Diceros bicornis minor: one gene and its partners. The protein of the gene in region 1 interacts with the protein of each later gene in a biochemical or structural test. Links are inferred from orthologs where the notes say so. Each region holds a gene or a part of one and is shown on either strand. Other genes may lie near its edges.

Region 1 (7,236 bases):
CTAGGACTATCTCAGTGCCATCATATCCTTGTCATTATGAAATTTTAATATACAGTATTATATACACAAAATATATGTAATAAAATAATCCATACAAGCCTTTCTGATATAATAAATACTCGGATAGGTCTATATTGATGTGCCATGGTAAGATGTATGTATGTGAGAACTTTAGAAAGATAGTTTTCAATTCTAAGTCTTTTGGCTTAAAATCTTTATCAGCTACAGAAGCTTCTGTCTGAAAATAGTTGTTCACGAACCAGGACTACTGTGTAGTACTTATCACCTGACCTACTGGACAACCCACAACAAGGCATATTCTGAAATGAAAAAACTCAATACATAAGTGACATTTTGACAACCTGAAAGGAAGCTGAAACCAAGTCAAATGGAAACACACTTAGGCTTCCCCTTGAAACTTGCCTCAGAAGCATTCGGCAGCTCTGGACTCAGCTCCCTGCCCTGTACTTTTCAGTCATTTGCTTTTCCCCAAGAAATTAGGAAACCTGCAATGCCAGCCTTCACCAGTCAACACTAACTTCTGCCTTTGGACTCCAGTGATTAAGCAAAGGCAGAAGTTGTTAGTAGCATTGTTAGTAGCTTCCTTAAAGTACAAATGCCTCTGGTAAACCTGGTTTCTAAATGCTACAGAAAAAGTTCAACAGAACCAACTGTAAGGTGACTTAAGCTGACAATTTTAAGGAGAGCAGAGATTCTGCTCCCTCCCCTTCAAATCTGCCACTAAGGTACAATTTTCAACTCACTTTTTTTCAAGTCAGTAAATACTACTATTATTACATTACAGCACTCCTCTAACACTAATAAAAACCTAGGTGACAGTTTTCTCTTTGAAAGTTGTAAATTTATTAGATGAGGCATTACAACCACTTCACTACATGCAACTTTCCATACACTTAACTGTTCTATCTTCCAAATGTTTGCTTTAAACTCAAGATCTCTTTTAACATACTACAGAAAGGGGATAGGTTAGAGGATTGGGGGAAAAATATCAAAATACCAGATGTCTCACTTTCCTTTTCTGACGGAACCACCAGAATCTAAAATCTGGGGGCAACTATATAATATAAAATTCAAGAGAATTTAGGATAAGTGAAAGTACTCACTGTTACTACAGTTCTGATCATTATTCACCTCAGGAAATAACTAGTAGAAATAATGCTTGATTTAAATTTTTAGTGCCTTCCAGTTTGGTTCAACTACCAAAATAAATAAACTTGTCCTCAGAGTTAAGTATTTTCCACCAGAAGAGGTTGCTGGTGTGAATAAAAAACGTCAGGAATTCATACAATGTATTTGTACAATATAAGGACAATGTTTTGAGAGATGTAAAACTGATCACTCTGAAAAAACATTTTGTTATAAAGAAAACATCACAAACTGAAACAGAAGAACTGAAGAAACAACGTTCTCTACAATTCAAAAATTTAAATTCACACTATTATGCAAACTAAATTAAAAAAAAAACCTCACGTTTTGCCTCAATTATACAAGTAATACATATTCAATGTAGAAAAAGACAAAGCCAGTTCTTAAACAAAAGATCAGCTGCTATGAAAACAAAACAACATTTTGCAAAGAAAAGTATACAGCCTTTGAACCAAAACAAACTGATGACCTTATCATACACTTAAAGCTTCAGTCCTTAGCACAACCTGCACCTTATGGATAAAGTGCTCACTCAATTATTTGATGAGTCAACAATGGGAAGGTTGTTGGTGCTATTAAAACCAAGACATATTTCCTCGCGTATAGTGATTAAAATCTGTTAAATCTACATTAAACAATCTCTGCCCTCCCACCTCCCATCATTGCTCTCTTGCCTTGTAAGGGACCTGCATGTACAAAAATAAAAGTAGATGTTGAGGTAAATTTATGATTTACAGTATTTTCCCCACTCAAAGCATTTTTCAAGAGTCTTTGAGGTTTAAAATTCAAACACTCTGTAAGAAGAATTAGTGTTTGAACTACCTAACCATTACTCCGACTTCTTTTAGACTTCAGTTAACCTGTAAGTAAAATGAGCATCTTTAACTTTTCCACGGGGCATTGGAAAACGAGCTCTTACTCATAAATGCTTTCAGGTGCTCAGACACCAGGCGCGGTGGCAGATCAAGCCTATCCATCAATTTGAGAGCTCTTCCGGACCTCAGTTTACCCACTTACGGAAACGGGCTATTAACTTGTTTCGTAGGGGCCTCGGAGGCGTAATTAATTAATGTTTTTAAATGCTCTAAGATCCAGAGACGAAAGGAAACGCGAGAGACGCGCAGAGATGATGACAATAATCACAACAATAAAAAGAATGACTAACTTGGAAGTCTGCGTTATGTAAGGAAGGAAGTTATCAGATTCGCACAAACAAAAGGAAAGCCCACCGTCCCCTTTGTTTCCCTTTCATTTCTCTCTTCTTCCCCGCCCCCGCGGAGCTCCCCTCCCGCAGCGGGCGGCCGGGCGAGGGGCTCCGACTTGGCCGCCGCGAGCCCCGCTCCCCGGCGGAGGGGGAGGGCTCGCCCGGCCGGCTCCTGACAAAGGCGCTTCCTCCTGCGAGGGCGCGGGATGCAGGCGCCGCAAACTCCGCTCCCGGCGGCCTCCGGCGCGGGGGCGCGCAGGCGGGCGGGGAGAGCCGGCTGGCCGCCCCGGGAAGCTGCCGAGGAAGTTGCGCGCACGCCCTGCCCGCACCCCTCGCCCACCCCGCCGCGATCCCTCCCGCGCCGCGGCCACACTCACCGGACAACTGCTGGTGGCCGGAATCCCAGCACGGCCCCCAAGACGCGGAGCGAGGGGGTGAAGCGTGCGTGCGCGGGGAGCGCGAGCAGACAGCCCGGCGTACCGCCGCCGCCTGCCTCGCCAGCCGGCCAAGCCCGGCGAGGGGAAGTTGGCCGCGGAGCCGAGCGCTGAGGAGCCGGGGGCGGAGGGAGAGGCGCAGGGCCCGCTTTGTGGTGCGCTCCCGGAGGGCTCGAGGCAAATCTGATCGCGCGGCACGGCTGGTGCTGCTGGTGGAGGCGGCGGCGGCGGCGGCGCCCCCCGACGGTCCCTCCGCCTCACACCGCCTCTGGGTCACTGACACACAGTCGGAGGGAGAGGAGGGGACTAGCTGGAGGGCGGGGCCTGAGGGAGGGAACAGGGCAGGGCCACAGAGGGAGGCGGCGACGCGGCACCAAGTGGTCTCTTGGGAGTTGTAGTTCTCCGACTGAAGAAAAAAGGATACATTGTTGAGGATGCTTCCCGCTCGCTCTGCGTTGCGCATGCTCGGGGCGGGGAGAGGTTTGGCCCCCTACTGTTACTATGGTCACCGACACACTAAGGAAGGGGACGTGTTCAGTGCTGCCGCCGACTGAACAAGGCCCTTCTTGTATTATGGTGCTGTTAGGGATCCCGCCCTTAGCTAAATCCTTCTTACTTCGCTCCACCCCCAATTCCTAGCCTCACCACTCACAAGTGTCCAGTGAAATCTGACTTCCTCCCGATATTTCGGTTTTCCCTGCTGCTTAATTTTCTTCCACAAATCCTGAATCACAAATGTCCATTTCCCACCCTTCCCTCAAGCGAATCCTCTCTGCCTTAAATTCAAGGGTTTTTTTTTTACCTAAGACTTGTAGAAATGTAGTTTCTTCCAGTAACTTAACAATTAGATTATAAAACTATTAGGAACATCGCCACTATTAGAATCCCATAGTTAATTTCTTCATTCAATTAGTCATATCTAACTCTAAGGCCAGCAAAGGTAAAGTTCAGGATTAAGAGTGCTGTCTTTTACTTGATAAGTGTAAAATAATCCAGATTTGTTTATTTTAAAGCCTACAATTTTTTAAGATATACAAATTTCATGAAGTATAAGTTCAAAAGATAAGTGGAAAGTTGAAAACTGTTAACTGTATGTATGTTGGCAAACTTTCATTTGGCAATAAGAGAAGTCTGAACCAAGGTCTGAGTATGCTGTTGGGCTGGTCAGCTAAGTCTACACCCATACTGGGCACCCAGCTGTGAATAGGTGGTGGAGGAGGGTGGTGAAAGGCAGGACATGTTTACTGGAGCTACAGAGGACTAAAGGCAACCTGTCCCAAGCTCTTTTGTTTTCTTTCTCTACCTACCTGGAACCGCATACCCTGGAAGAAAAAGATTAATGCTTAGAAATCAGAAACACATTTAGAGCAGGAAAAGTTGAGGTTTTCAAACAGAGAGTTTCAAGATCAGCAATCCTTATGTTTGCAGACCACATAATTATTCATTCAAAAAACATTTATTGAGTATGCTATGTCCCAGGCACTTTATTAGGTACCAGAAATAGAGATGCAAGAATGTAAAAGAAACATTCCTTGTTTTCCAAGTGCTTACTGTGCAGAGGAGACAAGTAAATAAACAGACTCAGTGTGATAAATACTATAATAGGAAAGTACACCAGGTGCTTTGATACACAGCTACCCCAAATTCAGGCAAGGTCAGGAAAAGCTTCCAAGAACATTTGAACTTAAAGATGACTAGGAGTTAGTGTGTTTGTGTGTTTTGGTGGAGGAAGGGGAAGAGAGAAGTGGATGAGGGCATTGCGAGTGAGGTGGAGGACAGCAAGAGCAAAGTGCTGGAGGCTTGAGATTAAAGAGTATTTTGGTTCAGCAAAGAGTTCAGCATTGCTGATCAGAATGGGATTGCGGGCATCGGCAAGAGGAGACAGCTTATATCATGAAAAATCTTGTACAATATGCTAAGGAATGTGGACTCTTTTCTGGAAGCATTGGAAAGCCACGCCAGAACTGTATATAAGCAGATGAAATTTTGATAAGATATGCATCTTAGAAATGCATTTAAGAAAAGATGAGAGGGCCGGCCCCGTGGCTTAGCAGTTAAGTGCGCGTGCTCTGCCGGGGCCGCTCGGGTTCGGATCCCGGGCGCGCACCGAGGCACCGCTTCTCCGGCCATGCTGAGGCCGCGTCCCATATACAGCAACTAGAAGGATGTGCAGCTATGACATACAACTATCTACTGGGGCTTTGGGGGAAAAAAATAAAATAAATAAATTAAAAAAAAAGAGAAAAGATGAGAGACTGAACTAAGGCACTGGCAGTGGCAGGAGACAGAACTGAGAGTAACCAGACACTATTGAATGGATAGAATTAATAGAACCTAGTGAGTAATTGCCTGTGTTTGGGGATGAAGGGTGAAGGAAAGTTACCAATTATGATGCTTTTGTCCGCAAGCAGCAAAAAACCCAACTCTAACTGGCTTAACCAATAAACCAATATTGACCTGTCTAGATAGAATGTCCAGTTTGAAAAGGCAAGCTACAGGGCTGAATGATTCAATGGCTGATGTCATTAAGGACACATTTCTTTCTTATTCATTGCTTTTCCTTCCTTAGTATTGGCTTTATGGTCAAATGACAGTTGCCAGCAATTCTTGTGGCTGTAAGTTTCGCCATCTAGGTCCAAGAAAGGACAGGAAGAGGGACTCATTTTTGAAAACTCTTTTAGAAAGGAGAGAAAACTTCATTCCCAGAAGCCTCAAGAATTGATTCATGTGTCTATATATAGACTAAAAAGGGTAGCCAGGGGATGGCATGAGGCTAATTGCCTTAGGATAAAGACATATGCCCTGCCTCTAGACTGAAAGGATTTAGCTTCTTCCAAAGCTATGATGAGACGATGTGGATATATCAGTGAAAATTGAGGTGATTACCCAAAAAAAGAAGAATGGAGGCTGAGAAGGGGGGAACCACAATATCTACTACAAGGAAAGAGAAGGATGACTCTCAGATTTCTGGCTTGTATGATTATGAGGTAGTGATGCCATTCACTGACTTAGGGAATACAGGAGATGGAACAGCTTTTGAGGGAGAATTTGATGGGTTTACTTTGGATGTGTTGAGTTTGAGATAGGTCTGGAGGGTGGAGAAGTGGAGTGGGCAGTTATATATATGAATCTAGTGCTCTGAAGAGAGATCTGAATAGCAGAAGATAAAATTGGAACATACCATCATATAGACGGTAATTGAAACTATGGGAATGGATGAGATCACCCAGGGACAGTATGCACAGCAGAAAAGGAGGAGTCATTAATAGCACACTGGGGAACACCAGCACTTAAGGAGTAGGCAGGAAGATCATGAAAATGCCTGGAAACTAGCAAGAGAACTAGAACATACAAAGAAGTAGGAAAATGTAATCTATACCCAGGAGAATTTAGTCAACATAAAGCCAGAAATGACAAAGATGATAGAATTAGCAGTCAACACTAAAACAGTTGTTATAAATATGCTCCATAGGCTGAAAGAGAGAAATTAAAGACATAAAAATTGGAATTTCTAGAGATTAAAATTACAACTTCTGAAAGAAAAATTTCACTGTATGGGATTAACTCTCAGAAGCAGATTAGACACTCAGAAGGAAAGATTAGTAAACTGGAAGACATAGCAGAAGAATGTAGCCAAAATAAAGCACACGAAGGAAAAAAACCTAAAAAAAACCAAAACCAAAACCAAAACAGAAAAACAGAGCCTTAGTAATCTGTGGGAAAATACCAAGTATTCTATTATGTGTATAACTGGAGTTGCAGATGAGAAAAGGGTGAGAAGGGTTACAGAAAAAAGATGTAATACAGTTGAAAATATTTTCATATTTGATGAAAATTATATACCCAGAGACTCAAGAAGCTCAATGAGCCCAAACACACACTCTCACAAAAACCACTGCAAAAGACATCCTCATTAAATTGTTGAAAATTAGTAATAAGAAGAAAATATTAAAAGCAGTCAGTGGAAAAAAGGTACATTATGTATAGAGAAACAAAGACAAAAATTTGAGTAAACTTCTAACCAGAAACTATGCAAGTCAGAAGACAATGAAAGGGCATTTTTAAAGTGCTGAAAGAGATAAAACTCTGTCACATAGAATCCCAGATTTGGAGAAAACATCTTTAAAAATGAAGGCTGAAGAAAAAAGCTGAGAGAATGTTGCCAGCCGAACTGCACTACAAGAAATGTGAAAGCAACTTCTTCAGCATTAAAAAAAAAACAATACCACATGGAAACTTGGATTTATACTAAAGAATGAAGAGTGCCAGAAATGGTAACTGTGTGAGGAAATATAAAAGACTTTCCCCCCTCATTTAAAAATTTAAAAAAAAGATAATTGACTATAGCAAAAATTATAGCACTATACTATAGGTTTCATGACATGTAGAAGTAAAATGCTTGACAACAATAGTTCGAAGGATGGAAGAGGG
Region 2 (7,316 bases), on another chromosome or scaffold:
TGCTCATTGATGGGGCCCATCTTTGGCCTCTGCTTCTACACCTGTCCCATGCCAGGTACTCAGTGACCTGGGGCCCCCAACTCTGATGTCCCCCACCTCAGCCTCGAGCAGGAGAGGGTAGGCCTATTCTCATGGGGGTCACTCAGGACGGGGCTCCTTGGGACCAGACACCAGGCCTTGGCAAACAGGCGCCTCTGCTCCCTGCCGGCAGAAGGTTTGGGAACATCATCCCCTTGCCGTAGACTCTGCTCCTGCAGTTCTCAGGGGCCCCAGGGGCCTGGCTATGGCCCCTCCTCACCTCTTGACGTCTCCATGGATGAGGCTGGGGCTGTCCTGATGTAAAAACTGAATTGCCCGAGCCGTGCCCAGAAGGATGTCCAGTCGCTGAGGCCAGGAGAGAGGGGGGCAGGCCTGGGTCTGGAGTGGCAGAGGGAGCAAGGGGCACAGGGGAGGCTGGGGGGCCACCGTTCCTTGACCCCCAACCCTCCCTCTACCTGTCACCACGGGGTCTGGACAAGCCACTTCACTCTCTTGGCCTCAGTTTCCCCTTCTGGAAAATGAGGAATAAAATCTCCATGAGCTACTTCATAAGAGGGTCGAGACTGAGCCATTCTGATGCTTTGTAAAGCATGCCGAGGGAATGTACTTTCAGGAGCCATCACAGAATTTGGCAGTCCTGAATTCCTGGAGTCCATTCATTGGTCCCGGGGCGATCAGGATGTCATGGGAGGCTTTCTCCCCACCTCCCCCAACACAGTGTGCTTATCCTGAGCGCTTAAACACGAGGGCAAGGACGCTCTTGCCCCGTGTCTTGTGCACGCTTCAATAGACAGGGCCCAGTTGCTGCTGCCCACTGGCCCCTTTTCTCCAAGGCGATGATGACAAGAGCCTCCAGCTACTCTGCTTGCAAAGGGGAGAAGTTGTTGGAGTCAGGCTACTCTGAGTCAATAACCCCCTTTTTAGAGGCACCATGGCCCTGCCTCTTGGGCACGCAGGAACAGCAAGGGAGAGGCCATGGGAAAGAGTTCCAGGGAAAACAGTGACCCACTTGGGCCAAACCCTGAGCCCAGGCCCTGCCTGTTGGTGGGACCTACTCACACAGGCTGAAAGCCCAGTCCCCGTGCCCTGCTTCGCCTAGGTGCCAAGAGTGCTGTGGGTCCAGGGAAGCGTGCCACGCCAGGTAAGGCTACCTGGAAGTGGAGGCGGTCTTCCAGGGAGCCGTTGGGCAGGAAGCCATAGACAAGGCAGTAGAAGCCACTCTGAGCACAGTAGCCAGCAAAGTCAACGATGTTTGGGTGACGAAACCTGCTTGAAAAAGTGGGGCCTGAGCCCTCTGGCGCCCAGCCTCCACCACACCTTCCATTTGGCCATTGTGGGGGTGGGTAGTCCCTGGTGGTTCCTCAGCTAGGCTGGGTGTGGCAGGCTTTGGGGGCCTGAGGGAGCCAGGTCCTGTGGTGTGTGGTCCTGGATGCCAGTGGGGCCCTGGTGTGGCTCTCCCTCTGCCCCCAGCCAGGAAGGATGCCCCAGGCTCACCGTGACAGCTGCTCTACTTCGGTCAGGAAGCTCTGCTTCACGGTGGTCCACTCCAGGTCTGCCTCCTGCAGCCCCCAGGGAAAACCGTAGGGGAGCGGCATGAGACTCTCACAGCCAAGGATTGATGGCCACACCCACGGCCATCTGTCCTGGGCCCAGAACAACCAAGGGACTGGGGACCCTGACCCGGGGAATCAAAGGGCTGAAGGAGCTGCATGGGGAAGCAGTGGGGGAGGACCAGAAAAGTGTGGGTCTGTTGCTGGCCCTCCAGGGCCTTTGTTGAGATGCTCCACCCACCTCCTTCAGCCTCTTCACAGCGTACACCGTGTTCCTCATCACAGCCCGGTACACACACCCAAAGCCACCCTCCCCGATCTTCAGCTCTTCTGAGAAGTTGTGAGTGCCCTGGGAAATCTCATGGAGGGGCCAGCAGAACGGAGAGGGGTGGGCCCCCTGCAGGAGGAACACCTGGCTGTCTGGGCTCGGCTGTGGGAAGAGACTCCAGATCAGGTGAGGACCTGTCTCCTCCCCTGGGTCCCTGCCACAAGCAACCCCACCCCCTCGCCAGCTGCCTCAGCTGGGCTGGTTGGGGATCCTAGATGTACCAAAGGCTAGGTTTCTTGCTCCTTCTCTGGAACCTTTCCCAGGGGCAGGACCCACCTACCTTGGTAGAGGAAGGGGCTGGAGATGGTGGTGGTGGCCGGAGGGCAGCAGGGCTTGGGACAGGGCCAAGTTCAGACCCAGAATGGGTCTGGGAGCCTGGAAAAGCTTCATAAAGACACCAGTGAGTGGCAGGCAGAGACCGGTGGCAGAGTGTTCAGCCGTGGCCATGGTCAAGGTGGCCATTTCCTCAGGTCCATCAAGCCCAACACCCGGGCCCTCTTACCTGGGGAGGGGAGGGTGGAGGCTGACGACTGCAACTTCCGGGGGCTGGGAGCCTCAGCCTCAGAGGGTGCAGCGATGCTGCTGGGCTTCAGGGCGGTGGTGCTGGGGGGCAGGTGGGGGGCGGGAGGGTGCCCTGGGACGCCAAGGAAGGAAAGGACGGTTAGGCCCAGGCGGGGGGAGGAGCCCCATGGGAGGCCCAGGGCGGCCCTCAGCCAGGGGGTCCCGGTGCTGCGTGCTCACAGGCCGTGATGATGTCCCGAGCCCGGAGCAACTGCAGGTGCGTGAGGATGCGCACGAGGTCGGCCACGCGGGCGTTGCGGTTGATCCAGGGCCACAGGACGCTGGCCGTGCGCTGCTCGGAGCGCTCACACAGCCGCAGCTCGGTCTGGTCGCGCACGATCAGGGCGGCTGCGGGGTGGGGGGCGTCAGGCCTGGGGGCCCGGGGCCCGAGCGCCCCCCGTCCCGCCCTCGCCGGCCCGCCGCCACCCACCGAACTGGCACCAGTCGGCGGGCTCCAGGGCGTCCATCACTTTGTAGAAGCGGCACATGACCCAGGGCGGCACCTCGTACAAGAAGTGCTGGCCGCCGGGGACCGCGGGGTCCCCTGGGCCCGGCCCCCCGGCCATGGCCGCCGCCGCCGGGCCAGGGCCTCTTGGGGCCTCTCGGGGCGGCGGCGGGCGCGGGCCTCGGCCCCGGTCCGCGGACACTGACTCACTTCCCCTTTAAGCCGGCCTCGTGCGACGCCCGGCGAGGCGGAAGGGGCGGTGCCCGGGCCCGCCGCCATCTTGTCCGCCGCGGCCGCGGCCGCCGCGAGCCTCGGCCACACGGGGGCGCCGCGCGCTGTCCCTCCCCGAGAAGGCAGCGCCGCTGGGCCCGGCGAGGCGGGCGCGGCGGGCTTCCAGGAGGAGGGCCCGTCCGAGTGGGGCTCTGAGGCATGGAGGAAAGCCGTTCCCAGCCCTGAGGACAAAGGGCACGGCCAAGGCACGGGACGTTCCCGAAAGGGCTAGAGCCGGGCCTTGTGAGAGTCGCTGGGAGGTCCCCTTAAGAAGTTTTGGCTTTCTTTGGGAGGCAGTGGAGAGTCGTCAGAGAGCCAGGCAGGACGGGGTCAGATGTGGGTCCCACAAAGGCCCCCGGCCGACTCCCGTCAGCTGGCTGTCAGGCTGGGTGCAGGGAGAATGGTCTGGAAGCTTGTACAGCAGGCCACCCCCGCTCAGAGGATTTCTGCCCACCTCCTGAGCCCTGGATCCCATCTTTTCCTCTCCTTCAGGAACCTGCTCCAGCAATTGTTAGCTCTTTGCAGTATCTGTCACTTTTCCTTCTTTGCTGGCTCCTTCCCACTAGCACATAAAACGTATTCATCTCTCTTAAAAACGGGCCTTCAGCTCCTGCTGTCCCTCCTCCCTCTTGTTGTCATACTTCTGGCTCAGTTTGCACGGGACCCTGTGAGGACAGCAGAGGCCGGCCTCTTCCTCCCTCTTTTCTGAAGCAGTCACCAGGCACCAAACTCAGTTCCCAGCCTGTTCCACATCTTCCTCCATTTCTCTCTTGCCCATTCCCACAGTGCTCCGCAGCCATTGATTTCTTCAGATTTTCTGGCACTCCTCCATTCCCCGGCCCCACATCAGCAGCCACTATTTGCCTGTCATCTCCCTGAACATCTCTGGAGTCCATCTCTTCCCCACAGGCCCGCTGCTCTCACTACTACCACTTACCTGGATGAAACTGCTGGCTTCCTGATGCTTCCCTGCCTTGTCTGCCTGGGTGGTCTTCCTCAGGGACAAATCAAGCTACATGACTTTCCTGCTCAAGACCTTCCTGTGGTTCCCAAAGGCCTCCGGTGGGGTCCCAGCTCTTTAGTGCAGACTCCATGCCGTCAGAATTTGGCCACTGCCCACCCATGTCATGTCTAGCTCTCTGCACACGTCAGCAGCCTTAAGCCATCTAGAACTCATTAGGGTTCCACAGATGTGCCAGTGCTCCCACATCCAGGAGTTTGCACGTGCAGTTTCCTGGCCCTCATGTGACAAGGTTGAGCTCAAACAGCTCCCCAGGTGTAAGCCAGGGTGAAAATTCCCTGGGCCCCTCTGGCATCTCTCATGCATCCTTCTTGAGCCTGTGCACTTGCCTGCCTCCCCCACTACACAGGGGAAGACCCCAGAAGTAGATTCTCCAGCTGGATGCATGCTTGCAGGGCAACAGGTCACCTTCCCTGATGGCCCCCCCTTGCCCTCTCAATTCTGACCCCAAAGGGTTCCCCCCTAAGCTGTTCTCCCTGGGACTTAGGGGAGTTTCTGGAAACTGGGTCTGCCTAAGACAGGCCTCCATTGGAGCCTCTTCCCAGAAGTCACAGCCACTGCTGGCCACTCCCAAAGAGGAGGCCAGCCATGCCCTAAGCCTCAGTGGCTTATCGCAGGGACAGCCCTTACTGAGACTACCAACCCGGGTATGGGAAGTTATCATGCATGTACATACTAAGCTCCAAGAAAACAAGAGACTTGGTCCTACTTGCTCACTGCTGGACTGCAGCTCCCAGGACAGGCCTGACACACAAGAGATGCTCAATACACACAGGTCGAATTTCAACCCTTTGTTTTAATGTTCAAGGCCAGGACTTTCAAGTGCACCTTCTAGTAGGTGTGTCCACATTTGCATGTGAAGCTGGACTCTGAGCAGTTGTCACCCCCTCCAGCCCAGCAACAGCCTGGTGAGGATGGCTGTGGCGGGACAGGCAGCTCCTGAGAGCCCAGAGCCTTGCGGGAAGCCAGGGAGCGTGGGCAGGGTGTGATAAGGCCTGCAAACCCCACAATGACAATAGCGCCCCCTTTGGGCAGGGAGCCAGGTCAGCAGAGGCCATAGGAGCGTCTTGGGCGATAGGCACAAGAGGAGCTGGAGCTGGAGCTGGGGGGCGGGGCGGGTGGTGGTGGTGGTGGTTTCCAAAAGCACCTCGGCATATCCAGACATATCCAGACCGAGTAGGCACCCCTGCCATGTCCCTCAGGAACAGGGAGGTTGTGCTGCTGTGCAGAAGGCCTGCAGCCTGCCTGCCCTCTCAACCTAGGGCATGGCGGGCAGACTCGTGCCTGGCCCTTCCCGGCCTGCTGCCCCAGAACTTTCCATCACACGCAGGAGCAGTGTGCCCGGAAAGTGTGGCCTTGGAGCACCCAAGGGGAGGTGGTGCATGGAGTAGGCTGCCCTTCCCTCGCACAGCAGTCCTGAAAGCGGCTGGCTATTTGTGTTTAGGGACAGCCAGACTGAATCAGGAAACACACCACCATGCTGTCCTATGAGCTGTCTGATAATGAAAGCCCAGACCTTGAGTCACTTTCACAGAGAGATTTATCAAGAATGCTAACAGCACAGGATACAGTACTTCCCAACAAAAGGTGCAAACGCATCACTTAGAAAGGCATGCTGAGTATTCTTTGCTTTCACACGTATTAAAAAACTTACAAAAATAAAATAAAACTGCGTGCTGCCCATCTTTTCAAATAGTAAAAGAACCTTATGAAAAAAATCACTTGATTTTACAACAAAAGACACAAACGGACATTTTTATGTAAATTTATAAGGCAAACTCTTTATATAATAAATAGGTTACAGGGATTCAGTGGGGGGTGTTTTGAAACGTATACAGGTACATTCAGACAGGTTTACTGAAATGGTACAAATTTCCTTAATAAATTGCCTTTGTTTTTAAATATATCAGTGCTTTCAGTCATTTGGCTATACACAAAGAACCTTTTTTTGAACACTACAAAAAAGCAATCAATATTTTTTGTTTTTAAAACGACCTACTTATTTTCTAAAGTAATTGTCCCAAAACACAAAAACTGAAGGTGAATGCGATCAATAGAGGGCTTTTCGAGACATCTCCAGCCAAGTCTGTCCTGGGCGGCTCCCAGCGCCCCGTGCACACCTCTCCCACAGTCAGCCAGGCTTCCGGGCTGGAGCCGGCTCCCTCTGCACAGGGCGGCCTGTTGTCACTGCGACTCTGGAGGGGACAGCCACCCTGCCTGGGTCTTTCTGCTACTGAACCCCATGTACAAATGGTCACTACAGTCAGCACTGTCCTCGCCTTTCAGAGGAGGTGCCACTGGGCACTAAGGGAGCACACATTTGTCCCTGTTGCGTGAGCCCAAAACAATGTCTGGTGGGGGTAACAGCTTTTCTGAGAAGGATCTGGTTTTGGCATGGAAAGGGAAAGGGCTTTCTCACATCCAAATTTTGCTGGGGATTAGATGACAGCAAAGAGAGCGCACCTCCTCCACCGTTATCTTACTGCCCTGATGGTGGGATCAAGAGGTCACATGAGCGTTGTGCACTGCAGACAGGGTGGGATGTGATGGAGGTGTCCTAGACCGTAATGCCCACCGCCTGTCCTGTCCAGGAAGAGCTGTGTCAGGTGGAGAGTGGCCAATCTGCCCTGTCAAGATATATGTGACCTGTGGCCACAGTGGAGGCCTCCAGGGAGATGCCCACCCTTTGAGCCACATGGCTCAGGCCCACTCCATCCTCCTCCCACGGAGGCGAGGTCGGCTCTGCTCACACCCCGCCCTGGCTCCCCTTGCAGGAACCTCAACCTTGTGAGTCCTTAAAAATAGCGATGATGCTAATCATCACAGGGGTGAAAAAAAGGCAAAAGAATCCACAAGGTGGAACAAAACCTGGTTTTGCTCTGACTTTGAAAATGGTAACACATCAGCTATTCGGTCCGTCGGCTTGGGCTTCACTTCTTCTGGTGGCTTTGGGCTGATTGGGGCAGGGGTCATCTTCAGATCTCCCCTCCTGGGGAAAAAGGACAGCCCCTCTCATCTTGGTCACCATCCCCTCCCTCCGAATTCTTTTGTTTGTAAAGAAAAGGTGTCTAGAAGCATTTGTCTCTGGAACAATTACTTTAA
Region 3 (7,824 bases), on another chromosome or scaffold:
ACATATATGCCTGGAAGTTCTAAATCTCAGAATTTAAAATCTTACTTTAAACATACATTCATATATTACCACCAACACATATTTGGAAGAACATACACCAAAATATTAACCGTGGTTATCTCTTGATAGTGATTTTTATGGTGGTTTTGTTTTCATTTGCTTTTTTGCATTTTCAATAATGAAAATAAATTATTTGTGTAGAAAAAACATAAAAAGTGTCACCTCTTTCAAAGTGTTCAAAATTTTACTTTAGTGCACTTAGGATTAATAGAAGTGGAACAGGATCTATTGCTTACAAATAAACAAATAAAAATCTCCATGACTGTTTTCTCATACCATTAATTCTCATAGTAGACAAAACCACTGATATTTTCAAAGACAACTCAGAGAAGAATATAAGGTAAGGTAATAATTGAGAAATATACTTAAACCAGTGTCTGCTTGTAGAACCCAGCACCTTCCCACTCATATGCATGTTCTCAAAGTACTGTGCCCAAAATAGGAATTCAAAAAATTCTATTCAAGTAAATTAACACATTTTTAAGATTGTGCTTCATTATCACTCTGATCAGAGGAAGAGAGTGTACAGGGGTGCAGGGGAGATGGACTTTGAGGTTGCACGGGACTGCATGCTAATACATCTCTTTCACAAACTACCTGTGACCACGGTCAATGATTCAGTATCTCCGGACCTTGGTTTCTTCATCTGAAAAAGAGAGATGGTAACAGCTAAGAGGTGCTGTAAGATTTAAAATCAACAAACTGGAAGGGCCTAATCCTGTCCACAATAGGTGATCAAAATAAAATGTAGCGATGATTATTCTATGGCAGAAGTTATTCTTAAGTCACATTTTAAAAACAGAAACGTGCAGAGTTGTATTTAAGCTCAATTTTCAGAATAGTGGTGAGGGGCTACTGAGAAAGTGGAAATAAGAGGTCTGAGACTATAGCTAAGCGTTTCAGATATTGGGAGTCTTACTTTATAGAGCATAATATGTTCAATACGTCTACAACCTCCCTAAAATACCTTATTCACTCTGATGCTTTCTTAAGCAAAATATGCTGGAAAACCATTAATCTTTATTTTTGGACAACTCAACATCATCACTATGAAGAAAAGCTGGTGATATCTTCCAGATCTATTAAATTATATAGGGCTGCCCCTCTCAAATGGGGATACGAGCTGGTATGCCATAAATTAAACAAAACACATCACTCTTAGACATTGATTTAACTCAATGGCAAGTAATTTAAAATGCTTTGGATATATTAAAGAATATTATTCATTCATCAAATATTTACTGGGTTTCTGCTTTGTGCCAAATATTGATCCCTGGAGATAAAGCGTTAGGAAAATAAGAAAAAAAATAACTGAACTCATAGAGCTTATATTCTAATAGAGAAAGAGAGGCAATAAACAAATAAATTCCATAGTATGTTAGATGGTGCCACCTGGAATGGAAAAAAAATAAACAGAAAAGGGGGTTTCAGTTTTAAATAGGGTAGTCAGAGTAGGACTCAATAAGAAGGTGTCATTTGATTAAAAGTTTGAGGGATGAGAAAGCCAGCCACTGGGATATCTGTGGGAAAAGTTTCTGGGCAAAAGAAACAGTAAATGCAAGGGTCTGAAGTGGGCCCATTGAGAAACAGCAAAGAGACAGTAAGACTGGAGAGGAGGGAGCAGAAAAGTAGCAGATAAGATGAGAGGTAATGGGGCCAGGTATACTAAGTCTTTATAACCTTTGTATTGACTTTGTTTATGAGTGAGATGTTGAAGAGTGAGATGAGATGAGATGAGGTGAGATGAGATGAGATGAGAAGACAGTGGAGGTTTCGAGAAGAGGAGACACATGCTCTATACTTATGTCTTAAAAAGACACTGGGGCTGCTGCAGAGAATAGTGGATATTGGAGGAAGGGCAGAGAAGCAGGAAGAGCGACCAACTAGCAGAGCACACCAATAATCCAGGCAGGAGGTGCTGGCGGCTTGGACCAGAGAAGGCGCCAAGTCCTAGGATGCTGGATATTTTCTGAGGTAGAGCAAATAGAATCCTATGTGCTGATGTGAAGAGTGAGGAGATGGCACTAAAGTTTTTGGTCTGAACAAGTTTCCTGACATTTACTGAGATGGAGAAGACTATGGAAGGAGTAAGTTTGGCCTGGAAGATCAGGAGCTCGGTTTGGACAGGTAGAACCAAACTTCAAAAGAATGCTTAGCATGCAAACAGGAGAATAAAAGAAATAGGAACTTTCTGACAGATCTCTTCAAGGATTATCCCCAGAAAGAGAAAAGGCAGATTTCAATACTCTCTGCTCTCAGGGCTCCTTGGGCACATACGTTTTTGAGGCACTAACAGAACTATTTGTTCCCATTCTAAATGGCTAAAATGCTTTCTCCCTTTCTCAAGGTCTGCTTTTCATCCCTTTGTTTCTTCTCTTGCTTCCAGGCTGTCAGATAGACTTTCCCCTCTGATAATGCATTTATCTAATCCTTACACCCCCTCTCCACTTTCTAATTTCCTCGAAGCTTGGAAGCCGGAGAACAAGCTAATTAGAGTCTCGTGGAGGATCAGAATGCTTTCCACGCCGCATCTCTGCCGGCTGCTGGCCTCACTTCCTGGTTCTCAGGAAAAGAGATTTCATTTCGTAAACGGGTTCTCGGAACACACCGCCTGGGAGTTGAGAAACTTGAGGCGAGGTCCGATGGGGCTGGCTGGACCGACGGCTGGGGGACGCCTCCCCATGCCCCAGCTTCCTCCGCAGGTCCCACTCACTTTCTGATCCCCAGGCACCCACCCAAGTCTTTATCCCGGGGCAAGCTCTGCCCACGCCACCTACTTCCTCTCGAACTTCTCTCCCTTTGAAGATAAGAAGGCGATTTTCCTTCCGGGACGGTCCCTCAATAACCCTGGGGCAGAGGGACGGAGGCCGGGGCGCGGACCTCGGACCACCCGCGGTGAAGGCGGCGCGCACGGCCGGAATCCCTCACCTGTCCAGGGGCGAGGCACGGGGGGCGGGCGGGGCGCCGCCGGGAGAAGCCAGCCGCTGAGGCACCAGCGCACGGGGAAGGGCCGGACAGGGGCGTGGCCAGCCCTCAGGCCCCGCCCCCGCCCCGCCTTCCTCTTCCTCTTTGCGCCTCCAGGCGGCTCCACAATGTGAAAAATACCAGGTCTCGCGTGAGGCGTTTCTTTAAGTGGGAGCCTGCCCCTTTAAATACGCCTCGGTCGGAGGCCAACTAGTTTAAGGCTTCCGGGCATGCGCACAGCGTTGTGCAGAGGAATGTCTTCACCTGGACGTGAGGTAGACCGAGTTGAGCTTCTTGCGCGCTGTGGGGTTTGATGACAAGGTTGGCATTGGGACCCCGACCCTATGCCCCCAGAAGGAGGGCGACGTGGGCTAGTATCGCGCCTTGGGACAGGCGGGGCGTGGGGCCGGGAGAAGAAGCAAGTGGCGCTGCTGGCGGTCGGTGTCTGGGGGTGCTTGTGGACGCGCCAGAAGGCAGCGCCGCGGGAGACGGGTTCCGCGGACTGATGGCAGAAATAGGGAGTAGTAGGAGTGAGTTCGGCGGAGCATTGGTGAAGGAAGAGCATGAGGGCAAAGGCGCCCCCTTCCTCCATTTCTAACATCTTCCCAGAATTTGTCCTCAACCAACAATTGGCTGTCCTTGGGTCAGCCAAACTACGCTCCCGCTCTCCGTCCTATCCCCTCATCAACGAATCTGTTGCTTAGGAACACGGCACTTTCATGCTTAACTCCACGTGGGTCCCTTGGCGGCCCTCCAGCTCGGTCCCACTCGCACTAAGATGTTTGGTTGTAATTCCCTCGTCGTTGCTTCCTCCCCAAGTTGTTCTACGTATTCCACCAGCTTAGAATGTCTTTATATCGCCTCCTTTTTGGGGAAAGAGTAGCTCATTATTCTTTCCAAGGCCAATCTTACAACTATGCTTTTGATCACATTGCTTTGCAGCTCCTCTGACTCTTCATGACGTTCATCCTGCTCAGTGCCATCAAGTCATCTTACTAAAACATCTTTTTGGATTGTGTCATCTTCCTACTGGAACACCTCCAGTGGCCATCCATTGACCACTCAACGAATTCTGTCTTTGACTGGGCATTCAGTGTCTTACATAGTTTGGCACTAATCCAGCTGTATTTTCCAGAACTGTACTAGAAAACTTTTTCTCCTACTGCTGTGCATCTGGGCTGTTCAGTTTTCTCTAACACATTGCATATTTGGTTTGTACGTTACTTATGATATGACTCTACCTCATTTCTATTTCTTGAACCGTTTTCTGGACTTAGATGGCCTCTTCTTGCATTACGCTTTTCCTGATTATCATAGGCAAAAGTGATCCCTTCTTCCTCTTCACCATTACAGCTCTTATGTTGTACTAGTTGTGTCATTTATTCAACAATCACTATTGATTGTGAGCCTGCTATGTGCTTGACACTGTTCTAAATGTGAGATAATCAGTGAATAAGGCAGACAAGATTCTTGCTGTTGTGGAGCTAACGTTGTAGCTGGGAGAGATATACAATAAATAATGAGGAAAATTATTAGATAGAAATACTATGCAGAAAATTAAATAGGGTTTTGTGAAAGAGAGTGACTTGCTGGTTCCTTTAGATTATTGGTCAGGGAAGACCTCTCTGAGGATGTGATTGGGGAAGGACCGATTTAATCATCAGGAACAGTTAACACAAAGGAACTGAAGAAGACCAGTGTAGCTGGAGTGTAGTGGGTAATGGGAACGAGTACAAGATAAATTTGGGGAACAAAGTCCAGAATCTTAGAAGTCTTTGGAAGCCAAGGTAAGTAATTTGGATTTTATTATAAACGTAATTAGAGAGTTTTAAACACAGTTATGATATGATTTAGTTTACCTTTTAAATCATCATTCTGGCTGCTAAGTGGAGAATGGACTATAGTGGACTAGTGCTAGAAGCAGAGGTTAGAGGCCTTCACAATATTTCAGAAATTCTGGAAGTACTAAAGTAGAGTGATGAAAGCACAGCAGGAGTAATCTGAGAGCCAGACTGATGCTTCAAGTTGATGTAGTTTTTAGTGATGAGAAAATCAAACTATGACCAAGGTGAAGTGGAAGCGGGTTGAGGTTGAGATTGAGGAACTGAGGGAGCACAGTGTTAAATGGATGATCCATATGGATGGTCATGGAAGTCATGCTGAATAGGAAAGCAGTGAACCAGGTGTTAAAATCATCAGTGAATGAAGAAGAGTCATCCAGGGACCAGAGAAGGAATGACAGCAGATGGTAGGGCCTGATGGCATGAACTTCAAAGGAACTGAGATTTTGGGAGGTAGAGAAGGAAGAAATGGTTTGGAAGAAGCAGTGGCAGATATAGAAAATATTTGCAACCTCCAGGTCCTAAGTTTGGTGAGTGTGAAAGGAAAAATAGCCTTTGCTTGAGAGGACTGCAGAAGAGGCAGCCTGGGGAAATAGCCAGATTTCAATTAGGGCAAGAAACTGAGGAGACTGTAAGGGAAATTAAGGAATGAAGGAAAACAATATATCCTTATATATTCTTTAGGACAGTAGGATATGGAAAATTTGCTGTGATTTCTACATGGTATAATAGAAAGGATAGAGGTGGGTTTGCTAAATTGGTTCAGATTGGTAGAATACACTGTAGAAATGGGATGAAGGTCCAGATGATAATAACCTGCAGAGTGTGGTTAACACAAAGAACTGAGTAGTATGGGGCCCCTGGTCATTTTATCTTTCCTGTAGCTTCGTCTGGTGTGGTAGCCATGGGTTATGCAAAGAATGAGTGAAAGCTTCCTCAGAGGATTATTCTCTTGTCTACTGCTTCGCCAAGATCTGTAAGGGTTTCTTCTCTCTGATGCCAGTGATATGATTGGAATTTTCCTTTGGGTCAACCTCAAAAGATTGTATCTGTGAAAGTTTGTAACTGGGCTTTCAAGGAGGCTGAAGGTCCAGGATTAACTTAAGCCCACCTTGAAGCATATTTGTATTACCAGTTGGTATTTACAACTTCGTTTATATATCAGTTTGGACTATTTCTTCCTGTCTTCTCCTCATCCCTTCTCCCATCCCTAACCCCTAATATATAAAAATCTAGCCACAAATTCTCTGGAATTAGCTGCGAATTTTAAGTTTCAGAAGTGGTGTTTAGACAAATCCTTGTAAACAGTCCTGTGTTCTAGTCTCTTCTTTGTGGGCCTACAAATGGTATTTTTAATGTAAACTTGAAACATTTTAATCCTGCATAATAGATGGGAGCCTTGAGCGGGTAGAGTCAAGTTGCAAATCACCAGTTATACCAGAAAAAAATTTGCCTGTTAATTCATCTTGGTACAGGATAGTCAAAATACACATGATATATTAAATTATTAATGTCTTTTAAGGGGTCTCAGAATTGATGGGGAGGAAGAGAATTAGATAAATCCTGCAAATTTGTTTCTTTTTTGTTATCCACAACTTTTCTGTCTGGTAACTGACCGCCTCTCTGTTTCTTTTGTAGGCGTTGTTATTTAAGAATGGAAGAGGATATAGATTTTAGAATCAGGTTTAGTTCTTTGTGTTTCATTACTGATCATGTTGGCTTTCGTGGCACTATAAAAAGCTCACCAAGTGACTTCGTTGTCATTGAGATTGATGAACAAGGACAGTTAGTTAATAAGGCCACTGATGAACCTGTTTACAAGATTAGTAAAGTGCCACCTGAGTCAAATAATTTTGCGAAAAAATCAAAACTAGATCTTCAAAATTTATCCTTTGAAGAGGGAAGCAGTCAAGAAGTTGATACTTTAGCTGGGTGCTCCGATGATGACCAGAATCATCAGTCTAGTTCGGAAAAGGAAGATACTATCAAGGATGGAGCTTCCAAAGATGAAGAAGAAAAAGTTGATGTAATAAGCTCCTTGTTAGATGAAAAAACTAATGAATTACTGAATCAGTTTGCCTGTGATACAAAAGAGAAGTGGAATTCTAAAACTGAGCTAATTGGACCGTCTCCTGAATTCTCATTAGGCAGAATCCTTGACAAAAACCAGAGGGCTATTTTGCATAGTGCTATTAGGCAGAAGTTTCCTTTCTTAATAACTGTAGGAAAAAACAGTGAAATTGTTGTAAAACCAAATCTTGAATATGAAGAACTCTGTCACTTGGTATCCGAAGAAGAAGCATTTGGCTTTTTTAAATATTTGGATGCAAAGAAAGAAAATTCCAAATTTACCTTTAAACCTGATACAAACAAAGACCACAGAAAAGCTGTCCACCATTTTGTCAACAAAAAGTTTGGAAACCTTGTGGAAACCAAATCTTTTCCTGAACTGAATTACAATGCTGCTAATCCAAATGTAGTGATAACAGTAAGGTTTCGGGAAAAAGCACACAAATACAGGAAGAGGTCTCTTCTTGAATGCCAGGAAAGGAAAGTTATACATACAGGTAATTTAATAAATCATTACCATTTTGTTGGGTAAACTTAGTTAAAATTTTGTGATAGCTGAATAATTTCAAATGAATTAAATAGACTTGGCCACAGGGATATTGGAAAAAAATATATGGGTCTGTTTTTTAATGGAAGATAGAGCTGTTCGAATTACACTCATTGTAAAAATTAACCTTGTTGATGAAAGTATGGTTAACAGACATTTATAGTTAACATGGTCACAGATGTATAAGGTTGAAGCAGTTATTTCATGTTTTGTAAGTTTTATTGGTGGTAAATCTTGATTTCATATTTTGAAAGTTATCTTAATTAAAATTAAGGATTTGGAGATAAGTAAAATATGTTTGCTATGCTTGGGAAAGTGAAGGGAATACCTTGTAATCTGAAA

What was found.
Region 2: of the proteins of PELI1 (region 1) and IRAK1, one has a biochemical effect on the other in vitro, tested with the Homo sapiens proteins (5 studies listed by BioGRID and IntAct, with this or other methods). The link is inferred for Diceros bicornis minor from reciprocal best matches to the Homo sapiens genes PELI1 and IRAK1.
Region 3: of the proteins of PELI1 (region 1) and IRAK4, one has a biochemical effect on the other in vitro, tested with the Homo sapiens proteins (4 studies listed by BioGRID and IntAct). The link is inferred for Diceros bicornis minor from reciprocal best matches to the Homo sapiens genes PELI1 and IRAK4.

The regions. Positions count from the first base shown.
Region 1 is NC_080751.1:23,497,243-23,504,478, reverse strand, and holds the start of PELI1 (E3 ubiquitin-protein ligase pellino homolog 1), read right to left. Parts: upstream 3,063-7,236; 5' UTR 2,749-3,062; intron 1-2,748. UniProt on the Homo sapiens protein: E3 ubiquitin ligase catalyzing the covalent attachment of ubiquitin moieties onto substrate proteins. Involved in the TLR and IL-1 signaling pathways via interaction with the complex containing IRAK kinases and TRAF6.
Region 2 is NC_080781.1:138,094,202-138,101,517, forward strand, and holds the start of IRAK1 (interleukin-1 receptor-associated kinase 1), read right to left. Parts: upstream 3,062-7,316; 5' UTR 3,045-3,061; coding exon 2,909-3,044; intron 2,827-2,908; coding exon 2,659-2,826; intron 2,552-2,658; coding exon 2,420-2,551; intron 2,302-2,419; coding exon 2,198-2,301; intron 2,020-2,197; coding exon 1,831-2,019; intron 1,599-1,830; coding exon 1,534-1,598; intron 1,306-1,533; coding exon 1,191-1,305; intron 418-1,190; coding exon 299-417; intron 1-298.
Region 3 is NC_080756.1:25,385,891-25,393,714, forward strand, and holds the start of IRAK4 (interleukin-1 receptor-associated kinase 4), read right to left. Parts: upstream 3,075-7,824; 5' UTR 2,989-3,074; intron 2,956-2,988; exon of another isoform or gene 2,838-2,955; intron 707-2,837; 5' UTR 658-706; intron 1-657. Other genes in the region: pseudouridylate synthase PUS7L, read left to right, coding at 3,338-3,345, 6,504-7,432.